Linked DNA regions of Callithrix jacchus. The protein of the gene in region 1 interacts with the protein of each later gene in a biochemical or structural test. Links are inferred from orthologs where the notes say so. Each region holds a gene or a part of one and is shown on either strand. Other genes may lie near its edges.

Region 1 (3,927 bases):
GAAGGCTTTGTGTACAGGCAGTCTTTTTTTTTTCCTTTTGAGACCGAGTCTCGATCTGTTGCCCAGGCAGGCTGGAGTGCAGTGGTGCGATCTCGGCTCACTGCAACCTCCGCCTCCCAGGTTCAAGCGATTCTCCTGCCTCATGAGTAGCTGGGACTACAGGTGTGCCCCACCACGCCAGGCTAATTTTTGTATTTCTAGTAGAGACGGGGTTTCGTTGGTCAGACTGGTCTCGAACCCCTGCTGGGATTACAGGCGTGAGCCACCACGCCCAGCCACCGGCAGCCTTTTCTCGAAGGCAGAGGGAGTAGTTGGAGCAAATTAGCCTAAGGCAGGAAAACTGAGAATGGGCGGGGCAGAAGGAGTAGTTCTGATTTATTAGAAGATAGGGTAGCGTGCCCAAGGGGAGAATAAACAGGAAACTAAGGAGTTTTTAAGAAAAGTATTTCCTCTCCTCCCTCCAAGTTCCCTAGTTGTGAAGGGAGGACCATAAGTATCTTGCATCACTTGATTTCATTTGAAATGAAATATTCAGAATCCATCATCTCACTATATTACCCTTTAAGATTCCATGTTCCTGAAACAAAAATTCCTATGTTGATCTGACAATCTTACAACGCATTTGAAATAAATCCAGGGTAGGACCAGCATTTTATGTTCACAGACTTCCTTTGTTTCCTGTCCATCTGCTTTCTTTTTCCTCTATTAATTTTCCATTCACTTCCCAATCTTAACCCCTCGCCATTCTCCCAGGGTCCCCCTTTCTCGTCATCCCTTTCATCCTTCCCTTCTTGGAAACAGATCCGATTCTAATCTCAGTTACTTTGTTTATTAGCCGCGGGATATTGGGATAGTTATTCCCTCTGGGCCTCAGTTTCTTTTGTAAAATTAAACCCCCCAAAACAGTGTTTATTTTACAGGGTTGCCAACAGTACAACAAAGAACAGGTTACATGCCTAACACAGTACCTGGTCTATAGTAAGAACTCAACATTTTTGCCCCTTCTCCCTCCTCTTTTCCGTCCTTTTATCTCTCTTCCCCTATTCCTCAATCCCAGAGCCCAACAGGTAAAAACCGTGGGAAAAACCGTCCTTGAGGCTAAAAGAAGAAACGCTGAGGCTAGGGGCGGAGACTACGAGGTGCTCACTGCGCATGTGCGCCCGCTAGGTCAGCTTCTGGGTTCCAGCTGGAACGCGGGTGGGGGGGGGCGCGGGTGGGGGGTTACCAGGGCCTCATTTTATCTTACTGCCCCCTTCCGGTTTGGGGAGGTGGCGGGACCTTGGCGGCGCCCGGAGCGGGTGCGGCACTCATCGAGGGACGCCCGGCCCAAAAGGTAAGTTGGAAAATGGCGGAGGGGGGGAAGAAGGAGGGGCTTTGCAGGGCAGGAGGCTGACCTCCCGGCCGGGGGTGGGAAGGACACTGCCCGGGCCGGGAGACTGACGGACCGCGCCCAGTATCTTTTTGAGGCCCTGACGTGGACGCACTTCGGGTTTCGCGACTACGGGTGTCTCCAGGGGATGGGCCGGCCAGTGGAGGCGCGTGAGGGAGACGAAGGGACTTCCGTTTCCTTCACCTAGGCTGGGGCCAGGCCGCAGAGCAGAGTTGGCTTTTCCAGATTGGGGCTTGGGCCGCGCCCCCTCCGGGACCCTCCCCTTGGACCGAGCCGATCGCTGCGGGCAGTTGGGGCCGGCTGTCCTGGCGCGGTGGGTACAGCTGTGTAGGCTTTCCCCTCCCCCGCTTTCCCTTCTACTCCTCTCCTTCCCTCCCCTCTCTTTTCCCCTCCACTCCCCTCGGGCCGGCGCTGCTGGGGAGGGCGGGAAGGCCGCGCCTGCCCGGCATGGGTGGCCCGGCCTGGGCTGCTTGCCCGGGTTCCCCGGACTGTCGACGGAAGGCGTGGGTGGGTGGGTGACCTCAGGCCCGCGTACTGCCTTCCTAAACCCTGTGACACCTAAGGTAAATTGAGGCAGAAAACTTTTTAAATATGATCAAAGGGATTTCCTCCCCATGTGATACCTGTGGCTTGTGTGGAGCAGGGTGGAGTGTGTCTGGAGGGGGCGTAAGAAACCGAAAGAATGAGGGCCAAAGAGCTTCCGGAAGAGGAAATTAGCTAGTGATTCTTTCCACTCTGCTTTCCCAGTCACCTTTCCAGCATGTTCTGTAAAACAAAATGTCAGTTTGACTTCGTTTCATCATTTTAACTCCCTAACACTTAAATTGTTTTCTTTTCGGGGAGGGAAGTGTTTCTTTCAAACTAAGCAGTAGCCCTCTCCACCTCCAAAAAAGGAAAAAGTCAATCAAAGCTTTGTTTAAAAAAAAACTTTCAGATTTTAATAATCTACTACTTTGCTTTCAAATATAATTATGTCGATAGTTCTGTCACAACTATACTTTGATAGTTTGATGACTCACAGAAATTTACTCTTGGAAGACTGGAGGTTGCAGTAGCGTTTCTTTCTTGTTATCTTTTTCCCCCATAATATTTATTACAGCCAGCGCAAGAGAACAATGTTACAGACGGCCATCTTAGAATTAAAACATTTTAGAGTTGGAAGGGATCGTAGTCAAACCCCGTCCTTTTACAAGAGCAGAAACAACTGCTTAGGAAGATTTTGTGGCTTGCTTAAGGCTATCCAACTAGTTAGATTAGAACCCGTGTTATCTGGCTTCTTGCCCACCACTCTTTCTGCGCAATTGCTCCATATCGCCTCCAGGCATAAAAATTAAATGTATTCAATTCAACACTCATTTCTGAAGAGTATAATACTTTGTACCAGTGACTCTGCCACCACTTTTCTATGTATTTCAACGTATTTAACATGCGTATGGAGTACTTGAGATTTCTCCCCACCCCCACATTCAAGAAGTGGCATCTGTCTGATTTTTATACACACACCTTCACAGGTAGGTACGTGTGTATACTTGCATTTGCTTAGTTTCTTGAAGGATACACAATAAAAAGGTTAACAGTAGTTATGAGGAAGAAGAGAGGTAGAAGACTTTTTGCTTTGCAGTAGTTCACATGACCTAATGTACTGTTTGAGTTTGTTATAAACTAGTATTGATTTTTTTTTTTTTTTTTTGAGATGGAGTCTCATTCTGTCGCCCAGGCTGGAGTGCAGTGGCATGATCTTAACTCACTTCAACCTCCACCTCCCAGGTTTAAGCAGTTCTCTGCCTCAGCCTCCTGAGTAGTTGGGATTACAGGCGCATGCCACCATGCCTGGCTAATTTTTGTATATTTAGTAGAGACGGGGTTTCACCATTTGTCCAGGCTGGTCTTGAACTCCTGACCTTGTGATTCATCTGCCTTGGCCTCCCAAAGTGCTGGGATTACAGGTGTGAGCCACCGCACCTGGCCTCTAGTATTGTTTTATAATTGAAAAGAAGTTTTAAAGTTCACACCCCCCCACACAAATATATATATATATCTATATAAGCAAGTATATACCGATGGTATGTGCACATTTATATACATATATGTATTTATACATAGCAGTAGTTTATACCATAAAATCCGGTATGATTCCAGCCAACTCAGCTGACAAAGCAGGCCTCATTATTGGATACTTACGTTTGTTTTTCTTGTATTGCTCTCTCCTAATGTAGATGGTAAAAATAATATGTTACTAGTTGTATATTTTTAGAAATTGTCCTAAGCTTCATTATCAAATAAAGTAGCAAACTTTAACACATTCAGAATATCAAATTTGAGTACTTGCTTTGGTAGCACACATTTTTTTTTTTAAACATGTCACTGAGTTTATTATAGAGAATGGTAACAGGAAATGGGATTGTACAAAGAAAAGAGTTGGAGACAAAACTGGATGAGGGTTTCACACTGGGTGTCCCATCCACAGGCCTCAGCAGTCCTGCCACGGATCTGCCCGATTCTTTCGCATCAGGAAGTTGATCTTGCGAGCCATTTCC
Region 2 (4,277 bases), on another chromosome or scaffold:
CCGCTGCCTGCACCAGGCGAGAGCACCCCGAGCAAAGGAACAGTAGTTGCCTCCGGAGGTATCACTGGGGAGTGGGAATTTGGAAAGTTCCCCAACTAGGAACACACGTGACCTCCTTCGAAAAGTAGTTCCGACTGTGGCCCGTGTATCCTTCCACCTCCTTTTGAACCCTCCTAGGTCTCCTCGCTCCGCCCACTAGCTGGGCTGCAGCTTCTTACCGTTCCGTACTTTCCACGCGGCCCGGTAACCCCGAACGTGCACGGTCCGGCCGGGGCGCGTGGATCCTCGCCCCGGGCGATCCATCCTGCCGGGTTTTCACGGCGGCCAAGGAGGGGCGGAGCTAGGTGGTCTCTAAGGACCCAGCTAGAGTCCGACGCGGCGAACTGAGTTGGAGTCTGTATGATGGGGAGAGATGCTCGACTATCCTAGGGGCCCCGGAGCGGGCTCAGGAGAGGGCTGCGAAGTGCGTCCCACTGACAGGGATCCCCGTGCAGTTCATTTAAATAGGTGCCCTTTGGGCCGTGGAAATTCAAGGCCCATGTGTTCACGTTCAGCACGCTCGGCTGAGAGCTTTCATTTTTAGGGCAAACGAGCCGAGTTACCCGGGGAAGCGAGAGGTGGGGCGCCGCAACCGAGCCGGATGAGGTGATACACGGTGAAGACACAATAGCAGGTTGCTCTTTGTGCTAATTCTGACACCTTGAGGCCACAGGGTCGTGGGGTGGGGGGGAAGGGAGATTTCTAGGCAAAGACAGCTACAGTCAAGTCTCTGCGAACGATTGTGATCCCACAGCGGTGCAAAAGGAGAGAGCAAATGCAGGTCACGCCGCGGAAATCCAGGGGCAGAGGCAGGGGGGAGGGTATTCTGCATATCCCTATACACTGACTAGTGTGGCCACCTGGTCCTTTTCACCTGTGCACAGGTAACCTCAGACTCCAGTCAGTGACACTGCTCTATGCACCCATCTCAGCTTTCATCATCAGTCCCCCTCCCCCGCCCCGCAACAGCCTACCCTCCCTCCGGCTGCGTTTCTGGGCAGAGGCTGAAGTTTAGCTCATCCTCGCCTAGCGTTGCCGCAAAAGCAGCCGTGGCAAGTGCAGCTGCAGGCGGGCGGCTCGGAACCGACCAGAGCGAGCTTCCCCCCCCCCCCACCGGCGCAGGCACACTGGGCATGCTCAGTAGAGCTTGCGGCTTGCGGGGGCTCTGCGCTCGCACCTGGAACTACAGCTCCTGCCCCCTCCTACCGCCCCGGTCGTGCCTTCCCCTCCCCCGGCGCGGTCCCGTCGGCCTCTCTCTCACCACCCGCCTCCCCTCGGTCTCTTGAGGCGCCCGGTCTCCTGGCGCGGCGGCGGAGGGGGCGGGCAGGTCGGCGGACGGTGATGTGGCGGGACTCTTTGTGCACTGCGGCAGGATACGCGCTCGGCTGCCGGGACGCGACTGCGCTCAGTTCTCTCCTCTCGGAAGCTGCAGCCATGATGGAAGTTTGAGAGTTGAGCCGCTGTGAGGCGAGGCCGGGCTCAGGCGAGGGAGATGAGAGACGGCGGCGGCCGCGGCCCGGAGCCCCTCTCAGCGCCTGTGAGCAGCCGCGGGGGCAGCGCCCTCGGGGAGCCGGCCGGCCTGCGGTGGCGGCAGCGGCGGCGTTTCTCGCCTCCTCTTCGTGTCTTCTAACCGTGCAGCCTCTTCCTCGGCTTCTCCTGAAAGGGACGGTGGAAGCCGTGGGCTCGGGCGGGAGCCGGCTGAGGCGCGGCGGCGGCGGCGGCGGCACCTCCCGCTCCTGGAGCGGGGGGGAAAAGCGGCGGCGGCGGCGGCGGCCGCGGCGGCTGCAGCTCCAAGGAGGGGGTCTGAGTTGCCTGTCACCATTTCCAGGGCTGGGAACGCCGGAGAGTTGGTCTCTCCCCTTCTACTGCCTCCAACACGGCGGCGGCGGCGGCGGCACATCCAGGGACCCGGGCCGGTTTTAAACCTCCCCTCCGCCGCCGCCGCACCCCCCGTGGCCCGGGCTCCGGAGGCCGCCGGAGGAGGCAGCCGTTCCGAGGATTATTCGTCTTCTCCCCATTCCGCTGCCGCCGCTGCCAGGCCTCTGGCTGCTGAGGAGAAGCAGGCCCAGTCGCTGCAACCATCCAGCAGCCGTCGCAGCAGCCATTACCCGGCTGCGGTCCAGAGCCAAGCGGCAGCAGAGCGAGGGGCATCAGCTACCGCCAAGTCCAGAGCCATTTCCATCCTGCAGAAGAAGCCCCGCCACCAGCAGCTTCTGCCATCTCTCTCCTCCTTTTTCTTCAGCCACAGGCTCCCAGACATGACAGCCATCATCAAAGAGATCGTTAGCAGAAACAAAAGGAGATATCAAGAGGATGGATTCGACTTAGACTTGACCTGTATCCATTTCTGCGGCTGCTCCTCTTTGCCTTTCTGTCACTCTCTTAGAACGTGGGAGTAGACGGATGCGAAAATGTCCGTAGTTTGGGTGACTATAACATTTAACCCTGGTCAGGTTGTTAGGCCATGTATTTTGTGTTTCTCTTCTGTGTATTCAACGTAGGGTGTGTTCGGCTAGACGGAACTCTTGCCTGGTTGCAAGTGTCAAGGCACCGATTGCTTTCTTAGGCTATCTATGTGGTCTCTTCCTGAGGGCTATTGTCCGTTAATACAGAATACAGTACACTCTTAGTGGATTAGCGAGCTCGGTAATCGGTCTCCTAAATGAACAAAAAAGTAGATGCTTTGAGGTTGAGCATATTTCGATTAAGTCTTGGCTTAAGCTCTAGATCAAGGGTATAGATTAGAATAAAATGAAAATTAGTGTTGCACGTACGCATATTGCATCAGAATCTTGCAGTGATTGTTTTAGTTTCCTGGGTTGCATTGATAGATTCTTTTAAAATATGACTGATTTGCATAACTTTAGAAGCAGAATCGTTTTCAGTATATATGGTGCACACTGAGAGCAAAAAGTAGTTTCGTTAATGTTTAAACTTACAATTTTGAACTGTATTTAGAAGTTTTGTAGTTTGAAATCAATAGTGCCATAATATACCTTATAAGGCGTTCTTACTAGGTCTTTGTTTTATTTACCTTTTTCTCTCCCTATGGGGTGATGTAGGATAGGGCTTGAGATTTGCACTTCAGTAGCATTTAATGTTCACTGCCCTTGTCATAGACATAGAATGGAGATTGAGTAGTTTTTGATCCCAGGTGACAATGTCGTGTAGGTTCAAGGGTATTGTGTGTAGCAAGTGAAGATTGCAGAAACTTCACTTCATGCAGAAACTTCAGTTCATGCTTGAAATTTAAGTATTATTGTGATGCTAGAATTGCTGCTCACCTTTTTTAGGTTTCAGGTCCTCTGACACTTTTTGGTATTGTTAATTTTACTGATTCGTGTAGAATGTCAAGTGTATTTTACCAGCTAATATCCAAAAATGCCGGCAAGAGGGGTTTACTCCAGCTTTAGATTGTAGATATGTTAGCTTTTTTCATACAGTATATTAAATTTACTGAGTCAGCTCGTTGAATAAGACAGAAGCCCAAGAATTATAACAGCGTATAGCTTTAGGTGTCTAAAAGTTAGGCCTTTGGGCTTCAAAAGTTAGTTGTTGTTGAAAAGCATTAATCTTTGCAGTTTTAGGTAAAACAGACTGATTTTGATTAAGAATGGGGATGGAGCCCTGTTTTTGCAGAATGGAAAGTATTGACAGGAATTGAGAGCTATTGGTAGGTCAGTGTATAAGGTATGTGAAAACAGGATTAAGTTATTGGTCTGAAGTGACTGAAGCATTTAGGCTCTATCAAGGCCTAAAATTTGGTAATGTGAATTTGGCCATACGAATTGTGGCGGCAGACAATATTTAGCTAAAATTATGTAATTGCATAAGTACTAGCAGAGTACTTTTAATAAAAATTATTTCTTAGCAAACATCAGTTGCATTTTGTTTAAAGGTAGAGTGACACTACAGTGTCTATGTGTCCTGCTAAAAATTGTGGGGAATATTTTTTTTGTAAGAAAACATTTTATATAGGGAGAGGTTTTATTCCCTTGGATTATGTTAGCTGCATATAAATGTGCACAGTTAATTTTGCCCATGTTTTTGTTTTGAAATGAATGTAAAACTTACTGAAGAAGTAGCTTTCCAAAATTTAGTTTTCTGTTAAGTCAAAAGTGGTATTTTAAAAGAGTATTTGCAAAGTTTGAAGTCTGCATTAATTGAAAATGTTACTAAGGCTGAACTGGACCCGCTTTCCCAAAAGATAATTATGGAAAAAATTCTTTTGTGACTTC
Region 3 (3,500 bases), on another chromosome or scaffold:
TTTGGGGAAGCTCGTGTGTGTGGTTTAGGCTGGAGGCCAGGAAGCCAGGCCCTGGAGGCTACTCCATGTGGTCCAGGCAGTAGAGACGAGCACAGAGGGCCAAGGCCAGACACAGAACTCAGCCCACGGCATCGCACACTGGGCTGCTCTTCCTGCCTCATGAGCTTTCAGGGACCAGGAGGACAAAGGGTACCTTGATCCAAGACTCTGCCCTGGGGCCCAGAGGGTCCCCTGGTGAGCTGGCCAGGCCCTGGCCAGGAGGGCACGGCCACGGGTACATGCCAGGTGGTGTGGGGCTCCTTTCCAGCCGCGTACCCGAGTGTGAGGTCCCTAGGGGCAAGGTGAGATCCTGCCCAGGTGGCACTAGACTCATGGGGGGAAGGGCAGGTTGGGAGGGGCTCCAAAGAGAGGGAGTGGGGAGTCAGTGAGCTCCCCTGGCCTCACCCACCAGACCCCCGCTTCTGTAAGGAAAGGATAGATGGAGTCTCAGTCCCCGACACGCCTCACCATGTTCCTTCCCCTCTCAATCTCTCCAAGTGTGGCTTGGCACTGCCCTTGGCCCAGTGGCCCTGCTTCTTAGAGGCAGAGTGGCCAGAGCCTGGGGACAGGCCTGAGCTGCAGGCTTCCCTGGAAATACTCTCCAGGTCTGGGGAGGGGCGTCTCCAGGGCTTGCAGAGGTGGGTCACTGACCCAGGTGTGGCCCTGAGAGTGACCTTTTCAGGAGAGTCAGGGCTTTGGGGATTGGCAGCCAGGATCCTCCTCTAGAAAGAGCCATGGACACAGTGCTTTGTTGGCAGGGGTTTGCCTGGGTTCCCCCAACTGATGCCTGCTCTTACCTTCCTGCCCAGGATGGCGAGGTCATTGGCATCAACACGCTCAAGGTCACAGCGGGCATCTCCTTTGCCATCCCCTCCGACCGAATCACGCGCTTCCTCACAGAATTCCAAGACAAGCACATCAAAGGTAAAGAGCTCACCTGGAGGGGCCAGAGGCAGAGGCACTAACCCCCCAGCACTGGGGCCAGGGCCCGTTGGAGGTCCTGGGTGAACCTTGCTCACTACCGGCCAGGTCCTGTCTTCCACCCCGAAGCTAGGAGACCCCCGGGACAGCTTATTCTCAGCCTCTGGCAGGGTCTTCCCCCCTGCCTATCATCAATTCGTGGTCACATTCACCCCCTGCCCCTCCAAAGCGATCTCCCTTTGTCTGGGGATCTCTGATCTCAGCTCCCACCATCAGTTTCTTGCACTTTCTGGACTCCTCTTATCTGGGCTCTCCCTTAGTTGTCAGCTGTTTCTTTCCTTCCATCCATCTATCCATCTATCCACTCACCTATCCACTCATCCATCCATCCACTCACCTATCCACCCATCCATCCATCCATCCACCCACCCATCCACCCACCCACCCACCTATTCACCCATCAATCTATCCATCCATCCACTCACCTATCCACCCATCCATCCATCCATCCATCCACCCACCCACCCACCCACCCACCTATCCACCCATCAATCTATCCATCCATCCACTCACCTATCCACCCATCCATCCATCCATCCACCCACCCATCCACCCACCCACCCACCTATTCACCCATCAATCTATCCATCCATCCACTCACCTATCCACTCACCTATCCATCCATCTATCTATCCATCCACTCACCTATCCACCTGTCCGTCCATCCATCCATCCATCCATCCATCCATCCATCCATCCATCCACCCACCCACCCACCCACCTATCCACCCATCAATCCATCCATCCATCCAACCACCCACCTATCCACCCATCCATCCAACCACCCACCTATCCACCCATCCATCCATCTATCCATCCATCCACTCACCTCTCCACCCATCCACTCACCTATCCATCCATCCATCCATCTACCCACCCACCTATCCACCCATCAATCCACCCATCCATCCATGCATCCATCCATCCATCCACCCACCTATCCCCCCATCAATCCATCCATCCATCCATCCATCCATCCATCCATCCATCCATCCATGCATCCATACATCCACCCACAGCTTTCCACCCATTTACCCATTCATCCACCCATCTTTCCATCCATCCATTTACTATCCATCCACCTATCCATCATCCATCCACCCATCTATCCACCCACCTACCCAGCCATTCACCCATTCATCCATCCACCTATTCATCATCCATCTACCCACCCACTCACCATTTACCCATTTATCCATCCACCTATTATCCATCCATCCTATATCCAACCATCCACCCATCCACTCACGCAACCACTCATTTCTTCTTTCACCCAACAATTCTTCCATCATTCATCTATCCATCCATCCATCCATCCATCCACCCATCTATTCATCCATCCACCCGTCCACCCACCCACCCACCCACCCACCCATTCACCCACCCATCCACCATTTCTTCCTTCATTTTTTCCTTTCTTTCTTCTCTCTTTCCTTCCACCCCTCCACCCACCCACTCATTCACCTGTCACCTACCCATCCATCCATCCGTCTGCCCACCTAGATGTCCCTTGATCCCTATCCCTCTATTCTTCCTTTCTTCCATCATCTGCCCACTCCTGAGTACTCCCGCTTCCAGGCTGTGGGCCATGCAGATCACATGGTAGAGACTCCTCTATGCAAGGGTAGTTCAATATCCTGGTCCTTGGAAGTCACCCTCTTTCAAGCCCCCATTTCCTCACCCTCTTCCAGTAGGGATGTCCAGCCCACCCTGCCCACACCTAGCCTGCCATGAGCACCCATCTGGGAGAGGTCTCACTGGGGCACTTGGCAACTCTCCCAAGTGAGAGGACGCCCATCCCCTCCTTCAGTGGGTGGTCACAGCCACCTTCCAGAGCAGGGCTATACTTCTGATTGCAGGGCCTTTTTTGGGGGCCTCCACCTCCCCACTTTCTCTTCAGCCCTAGTGAGCTTCTCCCTCCTGCCCTTGTGTCTCCCATGCCCACCTCCTGGTCAATGCCCAGGCCTGACTCAGCAACTCACACTGCCACGTTGCTTTCCTGTCTCCTCCCAGCCCCCTCACTGGCAGTTCATTGAGAGCAAGGGCTTCCTCATGCTTGTCCCCTCCTCCATGACCCCGCCAGGCAAGTACATGGACCCCAGTGCAGCCAGGCCGGTGCCATGAGGGCTGGCCACAGGAAGAGCTGCTGTTGAGGATGCCGCCACTGTTCTTCTGTGTCCATTATGGGAAGGCGATCTGGAGCCAGGCAGAGCCTGTCTTTCCCAGGGAAGCTGAAGTCTTCTTCTCTTGAACAGCGGGCGCCATCCGACCTCTTGAGCCCATTCCCTGTTGGCTTCTAGGAAGCTCAGAACTAGATCCACGGGTACGCCCAGACCTCCTTTCCCTAATGGAGCTCCTTTCCCTCACGACCGAGCCTTTCCTGTTGAATTGTCCCGTTCTCCGTGGGCGCCTTTGACTGTGGCCCATTTTCTGGAAACCAGGGGAGCTGCTCTTTGCACACACTGAGCCGGGAGGCGACT
Region 4 (3,500 bases), on another chromosome or scaffold:
CCAGCTTGCTGGGTTCCTGTCTCAGCTCTGATACTTCGTGCCTTGTGACCTTGGGAATGATCTGACCCCTGAGTGCCTCAGTTTCCTCCTCTTCAGGATGGGGATGACAGCACAGGTGCTTCTGGTGGCCAGGCTCAGATCAGGGAGTGGGGGCAGTGATCACCAGCCACAGTGATGCCAGCCACTATTTATCACATGTACTGGGCCAGGCACCTTACTGGGGCGACCTCATCTGATCCTCATAACTCACGTTGTAGGGTACTGTTACCCTACATTTTGCAGGCGAGGAAATGAAGGGACAGAGAGGTTAAGCAACCGTCTCAGGTCACACAGCTCGCAAGTGGCAGAGCTAGGGCTGCAAACCAGGTCAGCCATTATACTTTACTGACTCCTTAGTAATGGCTACTATTAATTAAGAAATAATAACAGTGATGATGGCTGGGCGCAGTGGCTCACACCTGTAATCCCAGAACTTTGGGAGGCAAAGGTGAGCAGATCTCTTGAGACCAGGAGTTCGAGACCAGCCTGGTCAATTTGTGGAATGCAGTCTCTACTAAAAATGTGAAAAATTAGCCGCACTTGGTGGCAGGCACCTGTAATCCCAGATACTGGGGTAATTGAGGCAGGAGAATTGTTTGAACCTGTGAAACAGAGGTTGCAGTAAACTTGAGATTGCAACACTACACTCTAGCCTGGGCGATAGAGTGAGACTCAGTCTCAAAAAAGAAAAAAAGAAAAAAGAGAGAATAATAATGATGAAAGCACTTTTCTTGCTGTTACCAGGTAAATCTTTGGCTCTGGTAGACAGGCAATTTTAAAGCAGAATCAGAACTCCTGGAGAAATTTTACATTAGACCCAGGGAGAAGAAGGGAACTGCTGAGAGCTGAGTTCTGCCTGGGGAAGGCCTGGTATTTCTTGACACTAACACGGGTGCTTTCTCTCTGGAGCAGCAAAGCCCAGGAGCTGAAGGACCGGCACCGGGACTTCCCAGACGTGATCTCAGGAGCGTATATCATTGAAGTAATTCCTGATACCCCGGCAGAAGCGTGAGTTAGAGTTATTTTCCCTTTTCCTCATGTGTCTGTGGTTCTTGGAGAGGGCGGGGAGGGTAGCAGGAAGAGGGGGCAGTGTTCCTTTTATACTGGCTCAGATGATTGTGCTGATCCTTGACACACGTGGTCTGACATTGCTAGTCATTCCTATTGGTCAGGACTCATCCATAGGACGGTGACTTTTATCTTCGGAAGTCCTCGCTCCGCTAGGGCCCTCCAGATGGACAGAGCAATAGCAGACTCGTAATGAGTCTCTGGGATGGCCTGGCTGGGGAGAGAGGGTTTCAGGAACAGTGTCCCTAAGACTTCACACGATAGTCCTGTTCTAGGCTTCGGGACCCTCCTCCTCCTGGAGTCTTCTCAGATTGTCTCTGACAGTGAGGCCATACCTGTCAACACCTGCAGAAAAATAGCCCTAGTGATATCAAAGCAGCATGACAAGAAGTAGCTCAAACATCCATCAGGGTTTGTTACCGTATTGGTGGAATATCCAGAGAAAAGTGCCAGACTGGGGCCAGCAAATGTGCCCTGGGGGCCGGATCTGGCCCACTGCCTGCTTTTGTATGGAGCTGTGGGCTAGGAATAATTTTTGCATTTTATTTTGATTTTTACTTATTTTTTTACCTTTTTATTTTCATGGGTTTTGGGGGAACAGGTGGTGTTTGGTTACATGAGTAGTGTACATGAGTACATGTCACTCATGTTACATGAGTAGTGGTTACATTAGTGGTGATTCGTGGGATTTTGGTGCTCCCATCACACAAGCAGTGTGCACTGCACCCAATTTGTAGTCTTTTATCCCTCACCCCCTTCCCAACCTTTCCCCTTGAGTCCCCAAAGTTCACTGTATCATTCTTAAGCCTTTGCGTCCTTGTAGCTTAGCTCCCACTTATGAGTGACAACATTTAAATGGTCAGAAAAATCCTGAAATAAGAATAGTATTTTGTAAAATGTTAAATTTGTATGAAATTCAAATTTCAGTGTCCACTGAAATATGGTTTGTGACGTCTTGGGGGGCTTTTGTGCTGGAATAGCAGAGTTGAGTAGCTTCAACAGAGGTGATATATACGGCAAAGCTAAAAATATTTCCTATGGAGCCCTTTACGGAAAACACTCGCAGACCCCTGTGCTAGCCCGTTAAGGACCATGACAGCATTTTGACACTGACCTATGTGAGAGCTACGGTTATAGTGGCAACCACACAGAGGAAGGGTCTCTTAACAGAAGCATTCCGCCCACCCTGTAAGAACTGCATTCTGACTTGCAATACCCATGACAGGCAAGTTGGCCATGGTCATGCTTCATGGCAGATAGGACCCGGTGCATCCTTCGCCACTTCGGGGTCAATCTTGACCTTTGACCTCCTTGGGGTCGTAAGGCCACACAAGTGTTAGTAGGCATTTCTACAGTGGACACAGTTGATGGTTTAGCCTACAAATCTCAAAAGGAGCCCAGCATCATGGCCCATGCGTGTAATCCCAGCAATTCAGGAGGCTGGAGCAGAAGAAATCTTTTGAGCCCAGGAGTCTGAGACTAGCATGGGCAACAGGTGAGACCTCATCTCAAACAAAAAAAAAAAAAAAAGAAAGAAAAAAGGGAAAAAAAAGAACATTATTTAAAAAAACTCAATAAGTAATTCAATCCACTGATGGTTTAAAAAAAGTTTTTTGTTTTTTTTTGAGATGGAATCCCACTCTGTTGCCCAGGCTGGAGTGTAGTGGCACAATCTTGGCTCACTACAACCTCCACCTCCTGGGTTCAAGGGAGTCTCTTGCCTCAGCCTCTGCATAGCTGAGATTACAGGTGCCCACCATCAAACCTGGCTAATTTTTTTTTTTTTTTTAGTAGAGACAGGATGTGGCCATGTTGGCCAGGCTGGTCTCGAACTCCTGACCTCAGGTGATCCACCTGCCTCTGCCTCCCAAAGTGCTGGGATTACAGGCATGAGCCACTAATGGTTTAAATTTTTCTAAGTTCACCTCCATTCAATCCTATTTGCTCTGGGCTTTTAGGTTCTAAACTGTGCCTCTGTCCATGTAAAGTCAGACCAGGAGGAGTGGAAACACAAATCATTCCCATTGTGATTCCCTTGTGTTGCAGAGGTGGTCTCCAGGAAAACGACGTCATCATCAGCATCAATGGACAGTCGGTGGTCTCTGCCAATGATGTCAGCGACGTCATTAAAAGGGAAAGCACCCTGAACATGGTGGTCCGCAGGGGCAATGAAGACATCATGATCACAGTGATTCCTGAAGAAATCGACCCATAGGCAGAGGCATGAGCTGGACTTCATGTTTCCCTCAAAGACTCTCCCGTGGATGACGGATGAGGACTCTGGGCTGCTGGCATAGGACACTCAAGACTTTTGACCGCCATTTTGCTGGTTCAGTGGAGACTCCCTGGCCAACAGAATCCTTCTTGATAGTTTGCAGGCAAAACAAATGTAA
Region 5 (4,296 bases), on another chromosome or scaffold:
ACACACACCCCTCCGGCGGGTGACTTGGGTGCAGGTAACACAGGGTGGAAAGCAGTTTCAAAGGGGGTCTATGTGCAGCAGGGTCCAGCTTGAACCTTAAACCCCAGTCAAGGTCTCACTCTGGCTAGGTATCGGGCTAGCCTTGGCCCTGGACATTTCAAGGAACTAAGACTCAAGGCTTGTTGTCCAAGCTTCTTCCAGGGGTGCAGCCAGACTTTCCCCTGCTGCTTCTAGTCACCCCAACCCACAAGGCTGGAGGCGTGGCCTCAGGGAAAGCAGACAAGCCACCCTTGGCCAGAGACCACTCCTGGGCGAGGAGCTGCAGAATCAGAGGGGTGGCGCCTGGGCCCCTCCGCAGGCAAGTGCCACCACACCAAGCGCTCGCGAGCACGATGGTTTCCGTGGTGACGGCGGAAGTGGCTGACCCGCAGGGTTCTGTTTCCTCCCGCCCTCCCAGACACACTGAGCTGCGATTGGATGGGAAGCTGACTCCCGCCTATATCCCCTTTTTCAGATAGTGGGTTGAAAGCCGTGAGACCGCAGTGCGTCTCTGCTGGAATTGGGGGCCCACTCCCAGAGCTGCCCGGCTCCGCCCCCACATCGCGTTCCCCAAGTGTCCAGCCCGACAGGTCTTCCTCTACACCACCTTAACCCTCCAGAGTGCTTACCACCATCTGGCACAATACATGTTTTGTTAGTTTACCTCAATCAGAATCTCCAGGAACTGGGATCTTTGGGTTTGCGATGGGACAATGAAGGTGCTCGACCTCGCACCCTCTGGGTAACGCCTCTAGTCTCACTCAGAGTCTCGCCGCGATCACCCTGCCTTTGTCTGTGACCCATGGGGTCAAAGGCTCTGACCCACCCGCGCCGCGCTCTGCACAAGTACAACATAGGATGAAGTGACCGCGAGCGAAACACCCCACGTCTGCCCCACTCAAAGATGGCGGCTAACCACACTTCCTGCCCGACCCCGCTAGAGTCACCGGAAGTGACCCGCCGGGCAGCCGAAGCGTCAACTCCAAGAACGGAAATACCCGAATCCAGCCGAAGGAGGCCGAACCCCAAACTCCATCCCTGAGCAACGCGAGTTTGCCGCGGCTGCGCAGGCGCACAACGCAGGCCGGGCGGGAAGACCCAAAGCGGACAGGCGGCGGAAATATCCGAAGCGGCGGGGCGCCCGAGGCCGTTACCGACCTCCGCGCTAAAGCCGCTGCTGCCGCGGAAACCGATCCTTCAGTACTCAGCCCCCGTCACCGCGGCTGCCCCGTCCTCCTCCCACCCCGAGCCGCAGCTCCCTCGCGGACGGATCAGCTGAGCGGCCAAACGGCGCGGCCGGGGGAAACCAGAGTCCGCAGCTGCGGCGGGGCCTGAGACCAGAGCGGGCGAGGGCAAGGAAGGAGCAGCCGGGGGCGATAGGGGCGGGGCCGGGCGGCCCGAGAACACCCGAGTTTGGCCGAGCGCTGCCGTTCGAGCCCGAGACTCCAGGCCAGGCCAGAGCCGGACTACGGGAGCCGAGTCGGGCCGCGCGGTGGGCGCGGAGCAGAGCAGAGCGGCGCGGCAGGCCGGGCGGGTGGCGAGAGCCGCGGAGGCCGCAGCGGCGGGTCCGAGGAGCAGAGGCGACGCGGGCGGCGGCGGGAGGCCGGGTGGCCGGGGTCCCGGGCCCCGCGGCGGCGGCAGCGGCGGCGGCGGCGGCAGGATGATCAAGCTGTTCTCGCTGAAGCAGCAGAAGAAGGAGGAGGAGTCGGCAGGCGGCACCAAGGGCAGCAGCAAGAAGGCGTCGGCGGCGCAGCTGCGGATCCAGAAGGGTAGGGGGTCAGGGGATGGGGCTGGAGCCAGAGTCGGAGTTCAGGGCCTGAGGCTGGGTGATGTGGGCGTCAGGAGGGGATCATGCGATCGCCGAGGGTCAGAGGTGGAGGGCCCCTAGTGTAGCGGGTCGGAGGTCAGGTCTTGAGGGTTGGGGTCATGCAGTCACGGGGAGGGGGGTCAGAGATAGGGGCCCAGTGTGTGGTGGTTTAGGATATTAGGAAGGCCTGTGTCTGGTACGAGGGACCCGGAATCTCAGAGTCAGGCAGTGGAGTGGAGGAGCTGGGGACTCGAGAGTCTGGGGGTTAGACGGGAACTTGGGTTTGGGATGACAGGAGGAGAGAGGGATAGTAGAGGCCAGGGGCTGGGGATATGAATGGGAGAAGACTCCGTGTATCTCAAGAGTCAGACGGGTGGACTAGGTTGGAGGACCCGAAACTCATGGGCCTCAGAGTCACAGCAATTTGGGGTATGGGGTGACAGGTGGTGGAGAGAAGGTTAGTGACTACCAGGGATTGGAGACAGGGGTGAGAAGAAATTTAGCCTATTGTGCTGTGAACCTCGGAGTCAGAGGGAGTGGGCTAGGGTGATGAGGGTTTGGGGACTTGAGAGTGTGGGGGTCAGGTGGGAAGAAGGCCTTTTTCTCTCTCAGAGAAAAAGGACAGTGAGGACTGAAAATTGGTGAGGGTAGGCAGGACCCTTGACTTTGGGTGGACAGGTAGGAACATCTTGGATGGGGAGCCTGGGATTCAGGGTGGTCAGAGGATATTTGGAGCGGGAGCATTTGGGAGCTATGGATGCAGAAAATTGGGCGTTTACCCTGGGCCAGGAGTTGGGACACGCAGACTGAACATACCTGTTTGGGGTATGCCATATATCCACAAGAGCCAAACAGGAGAAGGGAGAGGGCTGGAGGTGTGGAGCACAGCCCAGGACAGAGGCTTGGGGGTCCAGGAGGAGGCCATAGGGGCTGTGCTGACAACACCTGCCCTAAGTGTCCTGCTGTCTCCCTCTTTGTCACTTTTTCCCCCTCCCTCTTTCTCCCTCCCCCTTTCTTTCCCCAACTCTCTGCTGCCCAAACCCAGACATAAACGAGCTGAACCTGCCCAAGACGTGTGATATCAGCTTCTCAGATCCAGACGACCTCCTCAACTTCAAGCTGGTCATCTGTCCTGATGAGGTGAGGGTGCATATGGCTGGATTCACAGAAGCAGATCAAGAGTGTCCCCACTGAGAGGACGGAGACATGTTCTGTCAGGCCCCACAGGATTGAACCCTAAAATCTTCTTCTCCCCCTTTCCCTCCCAGGGCTTCTACAAGAGTGGGAAGTTTGTGTTCAGTTTTAAGGTGAGTCCCAGGTGGGCAGGGATGGCTGCCTGGACTGAGGAGGCAGCAGCTGAGGCCCTTCCAGGCACCAATCCATCTCCCTTTTCTTTTCCTGGAACCAGGTGGGCCAGGGTTATCCGCATGATCCCCCCAAGGTGAAGTGTGAGACAATGGTCTATCATCCCAACATTGACCTCGAGGGCAACGTCTGCCTCAACATCCTCAGGTGAGGGCACTGGCCCTCTACTGCCTTCCCCAGCCCTGCCTGTCATACCCCCCTCATGGTCTTCTGGGCACTACATCAGTCTCTGTGCCTACCCACCCCTTTGTTGTCTGTGGTTTCTTCATTTCCCAGTCATCTTCCTCATGGCCTGACCTTGGTTTTCTCCCTGTCCTGGCCTGCTCCACACCCTCCCTCCCAGTCTCCCACATCCTCACTCTCCTATGCCCTGGATCTGACCTGTCCAATATCAGAGGGGCCTATGGCAATCTCCCACTCACCAAGCCCTGACCCTGATGCTCTCTGTCCACAGAGAGGACTGGAAGCCAGTCCTTACGGTAAACTCCATAATTTATGGCCTGCAGTATCTCTTCTTGGTGAGTAGGAATAGGTGGTTGGGTTTGGGGAGATCGGTCTTCTGTCTCTCTGGCCTGTTGACCCCACCTGTACTGGCCACAGGAGCCCAACCCCGAGGACCCACTGAACAAGGAGGCCGCAGAGGTCCTGCAGAACAACCGGCGGCTGTTTGAGCAGAACGTGCAGCGTTCCATGCGGGGTGGCTACATCGGCTCCACCTACTTCGAGCGCTGCCTGAAATAGGGTTGGCGCACACCCACCCCCGCCACGGCCACAAGCCGTGGCGTCCCCTGCAAATATTTATTGGGGGCCACCGGCAGGGGGTTGGGGGGCAGCCGGTGGGGGAATTCCCTGCCTTGGCCTTGCCTCCCCTTCCTGCTACCTGCCCCTAGTTTGTTTTTTTTTTTTAAACCACCATGTGATTAAGGTCGGTGTTGCCTCCCCCGACCCACTCAGCAATGGGAAATGAATTGGCTTGTCTAGCCCCCTGCTGGGTGTTTGTTCAGCCCCCACTCTGGGCTGTGGAGTGGGTGGGCAAGGGGCCTGGGTAGCTGGGCCCAGGCAACCCACCCCTCCACCTCTGGAGG
Region 6 (4,046 bases), on another chromosome or scaffold:
GCTCAATAAATATTCGTAGAATAAGTGAATAAATGGGGCTGAGGTGTTGCAGTTCAAGCGATTATATTCTAAGACTCTTAGATTCTTCGAGTATGGCCTATAAAGTCAGATTCGGGTTTCAATCCTGTCCACCTCGGCCACTACTACTCATATGACCTTAAACATCCGTTTCCCTGAACCCTAGGGTCTCTACATCTGTAAAATTGGCGGAAGGCGGGGGGCGGGAATACTTTCTTGGCAGGATTGTAGTTAGGGAGAAATGAGATAAGCTTGAAAAGTGGTTAGCACGATGCCTGGGACTTAGCAAATGCCCACTAAACAGAAACGATTATTTTTGAAATGTGAAAATGAACTGTTCAAAACGATGGGAGGTTAGAGGACTAGATTACTGCCAGCTTTTTTTTTTCTGTGTGAGAGGTGTTAGGGTGGGAGGGAGGGAAGAGGGAAAGGAAGATTGTGTAAAGTGGGCTTGGTCGGATCAGACACTCGAGTTTGGAACAGCCATCTGCGATGTGGGCACAGGGTTGAGGGGGGGAGCTTATGGTTTTATTTGGGGTGGAGGAGGAGGCTAAGGGGAAGCCATGCCCAGGAGGAGGTTGAATGGGGCGGGACAGACCATGGCTCCACAAATGGTTTCCTTTTTGCTAGAAGTCTGACAACTCCTTTCGAACCTCTGTAAAAGCGGGGCCGTAGTGAATTCTGGCGAGGGGCCCGCCGTGGACCAGGAACTGGTGCCACAATTGCAAAGGGGCACCTGCGCCCGGAGGGGGCGGTGACGCGGGGGCTGGGCTGGGCCCTGGGGGCGGGGCGAGGCGCGGAAGTGCCGCCTCGGGACGGGGCGGTGACGGAAGGATGGATCTTGGGGACGTGATTGACTTTGGGGAAGGGGTGGGGATGCGAGCTGGAGCCTGAGGCTGGGCAGTGACGCAAGGACGATTCTGAGGGTGGGGTAAGTGGAGGGGTTGATTCTTGGAGGCGGGGCGGTAGCGCGAGGCTAGACCTTGGGGGCGGGGAGGTGGCACAAGATTAACCTTGGGGGAGGGTTGGGGCGCGGGTTGAATCCTGGGGCGGGTCGATGACGCAAGAGCGAATCCTGGGGGCGGGGCGAGGCCTTGGAGATGTGTCCTGGAGGCGGGGCGGTGACGCGAGGGCGGGTTCTGAGGCGGGGTAGGGAAGTGACGTTTCGCCTTGGGGGCGGGGCGACGACCGGAGGGGCGTCCTAAGGCCGGGGCGGTGACGCAAGAGCGACTCCTGGAGGCGGGGCGAGGCCTTGGAGATGCGTCCTGAGGCGTTGTAGCTAAGACTGACCCGGGGCAGTGACGCGGGGGCGGGATCTGGAAGCAAGGGCGGGTCCTAGGGACCTGGGCGCGCTGCCGAGGCCCGGAAGCGGACGGTGGAGGCTGCTCGCCATGAACGAAGCGGACCGGCTGCTTCTGCAGCGGCACCGGCGGCTGCTGGTGGAGGAGCTGCGGGTGGACCAGCTCTGGGACGCCTTGCTGAGCCGCGAGCTGTTCAAGCCCCACATGATCGAGGACATCCAGGTGCGCCCCCGCCCCCGGCCTCCTGTTCCCGCGCTGCACGACCAGGTCCCCACACCCCTCGAAGAGCCATTGTGTGGGAGCCCAGCTTTCCCTGTGGGTGGGTTCTAGTCCCCCAGCGGAGCCAAAGAATCCCAAACACCTCTTTCTTAGTCGGGTGTTCGCTAAAGCGATTCCACGCCATGCTCAGAGTACACTGTTAGTGCAGGAGTGTCTTGTGTAAATGAAAAATGTGAGACACATTTTGAAAACTGAGTAAGAAGCAGTTCTTGAATTGGAGAGCATCAAACTGAAAGAGGTTTAGTGTTGCAGTGGCAAAGCGTCAGAGGCAAGTATTTATTGGGAAAACGTGGAAGCAAAATAGAGGAATTATTTGATTGGTTTGCAGTTACAAAATTGCCTTTTTAAAAAAAGGTCTTCATTGTTTATGCTTGCTTATGATTGACTAGAGTTAAGTTTTGCTTCTCTCTAACATAAGCATTTATCAGATATGACCCAGGTTAAATTTTGCTTATCTTTGCAGTTTAAACAATATTTAGGTCACTTAGGATGCCTGATTAGTATTGTCTGCTCAGGAATTCTTCAGGGTTAGTCTCCATTTTAATTTACTTTTTAACACTTGCAAGGAAGGAGGTGTGTGTGTTTTTGCTTTTCTAGCGTAGAGGTTTCGGCCACCCGCTTTGGCATCAGACTGCCTGGCAGCCTGTTCTTGGGCCAGTCACTTACTCTCTTTGAGCCACAGTTTCCTGGGCTGTGAAATGGGAATACAATAATACTGTAATGAGGACTAAATGAGTTAATGGATGTGAAACAGTGTAGAGCCAGGCACAGACCCTCAGGCTGTCTGCCCTGCCCTCTTAGGCCAGCCCTTTCTGTGTTCAATTTATGTTTTGTTTAGAGGTTTTGGAAATAGGGGACCTGATGCAGGCAATGGAGAATAATAAAGTCAAACATCTAAGGTTTTCTTTAAAATCACTTTCCCATCTTTGTCTCACGTGACCCTCACCACAGGCCTGTGAGGACAAAGGAGTTATTTCCCACCATGAGGTACAGTGGGTGTGAGTGGCTGGCTGGATATCCCCAGCCGGTGCCCTGGTCCCAGTGAAAGAGCCTTTAAATAATTGAGTATCGGCCGGGCACAGTGGCTCACGCCTGTAATCCCAGCACTTTGGGAGGCCGAGGCAGGTGGATCATGAGGTCAAGAGATCCAGACCATCCTGGTCAACATGGTGAAACCCCGTCTCTACTAAAAATACAAAAAAAAATTAGTTGGGCATGGTGGTGCGTGCCTGTAATCCCAGCTACTCAGGAGGCTGAGGGAGGAGAATTGCCTGAATCCAGGAGGCGGAGGTTGTAGTGAGCCGAGATCGCGCAATTGCACTCCAGCCTGGGTAACAAGAGCGAAACTCTGTCTCAAAAAAATATAAATATAATAATTGAGTATCATATGAGTAATTATTCATTAATAATAAAAGAAGTCTTGTGACTTCTGTGTGACCCCTACTGGGGAACAGAAGTGGTTTGAGGCCACAGTCGTTGTTTTCAGGGATGTTCACAGGGATCAATGCCCATGGAGGCTTGATGGATGGGCATCATAGTGGATAGCCTTTGCACTGCCCTCCGTCTCCAGCTGAGGCTGGATATGGCCATATCCGCACATGGCCCAGGATTGCCAGATCTTTTGCTTCTTCGGAGGCAGGGTCTCATTCTTGCCCAGCCTGGAGTACAGTGGTGAGATCATGGCTCACTGCCACCTTGACCTCCTGGGCTTAAGTGGTCTTCCTGCCTCAGCCTTTAGAGTAGCTGGGACTTTAGGCACATGCCACCATGCCCGGATAACTTAAATTAAATTTTATTTTTTTGTACAGATGGGAGTCTTACTGTGTTGCCCAGATGGGTCTCAAACTCCTGGCCTCAAGTGATTCTTCTGCCTCAGTGTTGGGATTACAGGCATGAGCCACTGCACCCAACCCAGCTTTCCCATTTTAAGAAAGAAGTTGGAAATCTTGATTCCTCTGTCAAATTCCCTGGCTTAAATCCTGGCTTAAAATGTTAGCAACAAATTCAGAAATTTTTAAAGAACTTTGTGGGAACCACGGGTTGCGATTTTGCCACCCTGGTATGGCTGAAAAACCCACAGGTTTTGGAGCCAGTTGGATCTGGACTCTCATCCTAGCTTTGTTACATATTGGCAGGTTGTAAAAAGCCACACTCGATGAACCAAACAAACAAAAACCCTTTCTGTGACTCAATTTCCCTGAAATTTTTTGCCCTAAAATGTTGGGAAATTGAAATTTAACTTTGTAAGGTTATTGAGGGAGAAAAAGGTGAAACAATGCATTTAACACAGTGCTGACCTCCTGGAGTGCTCAGCAAATGTGGAGAGAAATCCAACCACCACCATCTGTTTGCACATAGTCAACTGTTCTGCTAGTGAGACTCAACTACAGGTCTGTGTTGTTCACAGCAGTAGCCATTGGCCACATGTGGTTAATTAAAGGTAAATTT
Region 7 (4,221 bases), on another chromosome or scaffold:
AATGAAAATAGAACTTTTGAGATCTCTTTAAATATTCCCTGACTCACGGAAAAAAATGTTCTCTTTTGATGTTTACATTGTTAAAATCTACCCATTTATCTATCTCTCTCTCTTTTAAATAAATTATCCGATAGATTACTATTGCTAAAGTAATTGGCCATTATAATAAGGAGAATGTGTTAAATTAAACATACTTAGGATCCATATGGTATTATCTTGATAAAGGGAAATGAGGACGCTGATTGGCAAACAGTTGGGAATTCCAAGTTAGAGCATTGCTTGTGTGTGTGTGTGTGTGTGTGTATATATATATATATATATATATATATTTTAATTTTTAAGAGACAGGGTCTCACTCTGTTACCCAGGCTACAGTGTAGTCATGTGATTACAGTTCATCATATCTTTGAATTCCTGGGCTAAGCAATCCTCCCATATTAGCTTCCCAAGTAGCTACGACTACAGGGTTGTGCTACCATGCCTGGCTAATTTTTAATTATTACTATTTTTTATGTACAGGGCCTGGCTATGTTGCCCAGGCTGATCTCAAACTCCTGGGCTCAAGTGATACTCCTGCCTCGGCCTCCTAAAGTGCTGGGATTACAGGTGTGAGCTACTGTGCCCAGCCAGAACATTGTTAATGTAGTTCAATATCAGATAAATTATTATTGTTAATGAAACAAACTCTAAGGGCATTCTCATTCCAAAACTGTATTTCAAACTTCCTTTTTTGTCAATATTTAATACCTTCTGGCCAATTTTAAACCATAATATTTAATTTTTTAATTTTTATTATTATTTTTTGAGACGGAGTTTCGCTGTTGTTACCCAGACTGGAATGCAATGGCACGATCTAGGCTCACCGTAACCTCCGCCTCCTGGGTTCAAGCAATTCTCCTGCCTCAGCCTCCCGAGTAGCTGGGACTACAGGCGTGCACCACCATGCCCAGCTAATTTTTGTATTTTTAGTAGAGACAGTGTTTCACCTTGTTGACTACGATGGTCTTGATCTCTTGACCTCGTGATCCACCCGCCTTGGCCTCCCAAAGTGCTGGGATTATAGGCGTGAGCCACCGTGCCCAGCCAACCATAATCTTTTAATGTGAACCAAAGATGGTACGTATTTGACCAGTGCAGTTAGTTTTAAATGTATACAATTGAACCAAATGGAAAAAATAGGGTGGAAACAGAGTATAGGTTAGTGACTAAGTGCATAGGCTCTGGAATAAATCTGAGGTTTAAAGGAACTAAAAAATGTACTGCATTTTCTTTGTGGAATAAAAACCTCACCTGAGCTGTGCTCTTTTCATAAGGCTTTTTAAGTGGTCTTGACCCACTGTGTATAACAGTATTCCAGGTGGTCTTCCTTATGGCTGGATAATGCCATCCATTAATCTTTAATTTTTATTTTTAGAAACAGTGTTTCACTCTGTCACCAGGCTGGAGTGCAGTGGCCTGATCATGGCTCACTGCAGTCTGGACCTCCTGGGCTTAAGTGATTCCGTCCTCACAGCCTCCCAAAGTACTCACATTATAGGTGTGAGCCACCACGCCTGGTTTTTTTTATAGGCGTGAGCCACCATCCAGTATTTTTGAAAGCTTCTATCAACTTGCTTATTCAGGGTCAGCTGATGGTTGGCAAAAATAATTTGGCCCTTAGTGTTAAGTGAGAAGTCATAAGGGTATTGAGGCATACATTATAGAGATTGACCTCGGGTCAGAATATCGGAGTCATATATCTATTTCTGAGTCGAATTCTCAGCTCCCAAGAGAAAGAAAGTAGTTTTAAGGTCCAGCTTTTTAGTCTATTTGAAGCAAAAGCTTTTTCTTTTCCATTTCCGAATATAAATATACACTTATATGAGCTAAAAGGACCCCATGAATAAACAGCAGCTTTAGTAGTTGAGGAGTGGAATTTAGTAGGTTTGTTTTCAGTATAAATCAGATAACATAGGTGGAGGTCACAGCATTTTGGAAATTGAGTGTCCCACGTGAACTTTGTTTATAAACTTCTGACAAGTTGGAAGTGGACAGGTTTGTTAAATCTTGTCTGCCAGCACCCTTTTCTTCCTTTGTTCCTTTTCTTCTCCGTGTTACTGCCTGCGACAGCCAGTCCTTCATGCTAGACAGAGTTCAGATAAAGCACATGTTTGGCAAAAACATACTGTTTGACCTCCTCCCCCTCTGCTTATGAAGGGGTAGCATGATTCTGTGTTTTAAAGCAGTGATGTTTTCAGCTGTGAAATGCACTTGCTGTAAGCACTAGGCTGGGTGCATGGAAACTGTTACGCTTCTCATTTTGTGTGATCTCCTAATTGGTATGTAGCAAAATTTTTCTAAAACTGTTTTGTGGCTTGTTTTGTAATAAAACCATGTGAAATACTGAAATATGGTCGTGTGTTTTGCTAATACTGACCTTCTGACCTTTAGGTGAGTGAGCTTTCTTATCAGTCTGCCCCCATGGTCGGTTTTAGGGATTTCACAAGGTAGGTTCCCACTCCGGGTAGTGCTGGAGACCTTCCCTTCACTGCCTGGGGGAGGACCTGGCTCCGGGTAGGGACGGGGGCGGGTGGTGGGGAATGTACGGGTGTGTATATGGAGAGGTATGCCAGGCTCTGCCCCTTAAAGTTTGGGGGCCAGCGGAGGCGGCGCCATGGCCGGGAGAAAGTGTCGCTCATTTAGGAGCGTTTGCAGGTCCAGATGAAGTCACTGAAGAGTGGAAACGAGGAAGGAAGAAGGATGATTAGACCTCAGCTTCGGCCTGCTGGGCTGGGACCATGCCTCCTGCCGGGGCTACTGCTGCTCCTGGTGCCCGTCCCCTGGGCCGGGGCTAAGAGGCTACACGCCCAGCTGGCGTGCCCCGCGGTCTGCCAGCCCACGCGTTGCCCCGCGCTGCCCCGCTGCGCGCTGGGTACCGCGCCGGTGTTAGACCTGTGCCGCTGCTGCCGCGTCTGCCCGGCGGCCGAGGGTGAAGTCTGCGGCGGGGCGCGGGGCCGGCCGTGTGCCCCGGGGCTGCAGTGTCTCCAGTCGCTGGGCCCCTGGCTGCCCAGCACCTGCGGCTGCCCGACGCTGGGGGCGGCCGTGTGCGGCAGCGACAGACGCACCTACCCTAGCCTGTGCGCGCTCCGGGCGAACAACCGCGCCGCGCGCCGCCGGGGCGAGGTGCCAGCGGTGCCGGTGCAGTGGGGGGACTGCAGGGATACAGGTGAGCCGCGGGGGGCGCGCGCCCTCGGGACGCTTTCTAACTCTGGAGGAGCGTATAGACACAAGACTTCACTGCGACCGCACAGTTCGCGCGGGGTCCTCCTGAGTCATTTGCCTCCTGGACTCGATCTCACTGTTCCCGATTTCCTTTCTTACTTAACAGGGGCTCTTTACTGGCTGCTGCGTGGTTTCTCCCCATGCACGTTTTGAACACTGTCTTGCCTTTAACATTTTCCCAACCAGCATAGCAGGTCTGGTTCCCTCGAGGCGTACCCTTGAGCTGGTATTTTTTGAATAGGGACCAGGAGCGCAGGCCCGCTCAGGAGCAATTACAACTTCATCGCCCCGGTGGTGGAGAAGGTGGCGCCATCGGTGGTTCACTTGCAGCTGTGGCGCAGGTAAAGGGGGAGGAGGAAGACCTCTTACTGGCCCAGCTAGTGGTTCCTGCCTGCGTACCTGCGCCAGGCCCTTCTCAAGCGTCATTTAATCCCAAAAAACCGCTGTAAGGAAACTGAGACGCAAAGAGGTTGAATAACCTGTTCAAGGTCATTTGACTAACGAGCAGAGGCACGCGGATGCTGACTTCCAAACCCGAGCTCCCCCTGCCCCCTTAGGTAGCTGGGGCTTTTCCCCCGTCCTTGCACAGACAAAATTGAAGGTCAGATATAAGAGCTAGTAGGCATTTTCTTTTCTTTGAGACAAGGTCTTGCTATGTCTCCAAGGCTGAATTGCAGTGACAGATCACGGCTCACTGCAGCTCCATCTACCGGGCTCAAGTAATCTTCCCACCTCAGCCTCTGGGGTAACTGGGACTACAGGCATTGCCACCACACCCAGCTAATATTTGTATTTTTTGTACAGATAGGGTCTTGTTAAGTTGCCCAGGCTGGTCTCGAACTCCTGAGCCCAAATGATCTGCCACCTTGGCCTCCCGAGGTGCTGGGATTATGGGTGTGAGCCACTGCACCCAGCTTAGCAGGCATTTTGGTCGTGATATTGCTCAGCTCCCACTTTGCA

The links.
Region 2: of the proteins of XIAP (region 1) and PTEN, one has a biochemical effect on the other in vitro, tested with the Homo sapiens proteins (2 studies listed by BioGRID). The link is inferred for Callithrix jacchus from reciprocal best matches to the Homo sapiens genes XIAP and PTEN.
Region 3: of the proteins of XIAP (region 1) and HTRA3, one has a biochemical effect on the other in vitro, tested with the Homo sapiens proteins (3 studies listed by BioGRID and IntAct, with this or other methods). The link is inferred for Callithrix jacchus from reciprocal best matches to the Homo sapiens genes XIAP and HTRA3.
Region 4: the proteins of XIAP (region 1) and HTRA1 form a complex in vitro, tested with the Homo sapiens proteins (2 studies listed by BioGRID and IntAct, with this or other methods). The link is inferred for Callithrix jacchus from reciprocal best matches to the Homo sapiens genes XIAP and HTRA1.
Region 5: the proteins of XIAP (region 1) and UBE2M form a complex in vitro, tested with the Homo sapiens proteins (2 studies listed by BioGRID). The link is inferred for Callithrix jacchus from reciprocal best matches to the Homo sapiens genes XIAP and UBE2M.
Region 6: the proteins of XIAP (region 1) and CASP9 form a complex in vitro, tested with the Homo sapiens proteins (12 studies listed by BioGRID and IntAct, with this or other methods). The link is inferred for Callithrix jacchus from reciprocal best matches to the Homo sapiens genes XIAP and CASP9.
Region 7: the proteins of XIAP (region 1) and HTRA4 form a complex in vitro, tested with the Homo sapiens proteins (2 studies listed by BioGRID and IntAct, with this or other methods). The link is inferred for Callithrix jacchus from reciprocal best matches to the Homo sapiens genes XIAP and HTRA4.

Annotation. Positions count from the first base shown.
Region 1 is NC_133524.1:119,603,097-119,607,023, forward strand, and holds the start of XIAP (E3 ubiquitin-protein ligase XIAP), read left to right. Parts: upstream 1-1,127; 5' UTR 1,128-1,333; intron 1,334-1,577; exon of another isoform or gene 1,578-1,703; intron 1,704-3,739; exon of another isoform or gene 3,740-3,927.
Region 2 is NC_133513.1:80,463,682-80,467,958, forward strand, and holds the start of PTEN (phosphatidylinositol 3,4,5-trisphosphate 3-phosphatase and dual-specificity protein phosphatase PTEN), read left to right. Parts: upstream 1-1,477; 5' UTR 1,478-2,297; coding exon 2,298-2,376; exon of another isoform or gene 2,377-2,377; intron 2,378-4,277. UniProt on the Homo sapiens protein: Dual-specificity protein phosphatase, dephosphorylating tyrosine-, serine- and threonine-phosphorylated proteins.
Region 3 is NC_133504.1:188,553,807-188,557,306, forward strand, and holds part of HTRA3 (serine protease HTRA3), read left to right. Parts: intron 1-848; coding exon 849-963; intron 964-3,033; coding exon of another isoform or gene 3,034-3,056; exon of another isoform or gene 3,057-3,103; coding exon of another isoform or gene 3,104-3,144; exon of another isoform or gene 3,145-3,500. UniProt on the Homo sapiens protein: Serine protease that cleaves beta-casein/CSN2 as well as several extracellular matrix (ECM) proteoglycans such as decorin/DCN, biglycan/BGN and fibronectin/FN1.
Region 4 is NC_133513.1:115,916,281-115,919,780, forward strand, and holds part of HTRA1 (serine protease HTRA1), read left to right. Parts: intron 1-951; coding exon 952-1,047; intron 1,048-3,153; coding exon 3,154-3,322; 3' UTR 3,323-3,500. UniProt on the Homo sapiens protein: Serine protease with a variety of targets, including extracellular matrix proteins such as fibronectin. HTRA1-generated fibronectin fragments further induce synovial cells to up-regulate MMP1 and MMP3 production.
Region 5 is NC_133523.1:51,191,836-51,196,131, reverse strand, and holds the start of UBE2M (NEDD8-conjugating enzyme Ubc12), read left to right. Parts: upstream 1-1,496; 5' UTR 1,497-1,699; coding exon 1,700-1,808; intron 1,809-2,891; coding exon 2,892-2,986; intron 2,987-3,114; coding exon 3,115-3,153; intron 3,154-3,254; coding exon 3,255-3,358; intron 3,359-3,665; coding exon 3,666-3,729; intron 3,730-3,811; coding exon 3,812-3,952; 3' UTR 3,953-4,296.
Region 6 is NC_133508.1:52,841,305-52,845,350, reverse strand, and holds the start of CASP9 (caspase-9), read left to right. Parts: upstream 1-1,246; 5' UTR 1,247-1,409; coding exon 1,410-1,541; intron 1,542-4,046. UniProt on the Homo sapiens protein: Involved in the activation cascade of caspases responsible for apoptosis execution. Binding of caspase-9 to Apaf-1 leads to activation of the protease which then cleaves and activates effector caspases caspase-3 (CASP3) or caspase-7 (CASP7).
Region 7 is NC_133514.1:39,810,920-39,815,140, forward strand, and holds the start of HTRA4 (serine protease HTRA4), read left to right. Parts: upstream 1-1,421; 5' UTR 1,422-2,700; coding exon 2,701-3,205; intron 3,206-3,502; coding exon 3,503-3,602; intron 3,603-4,221. UniProt on the Homo sapiens protein: Serine protease.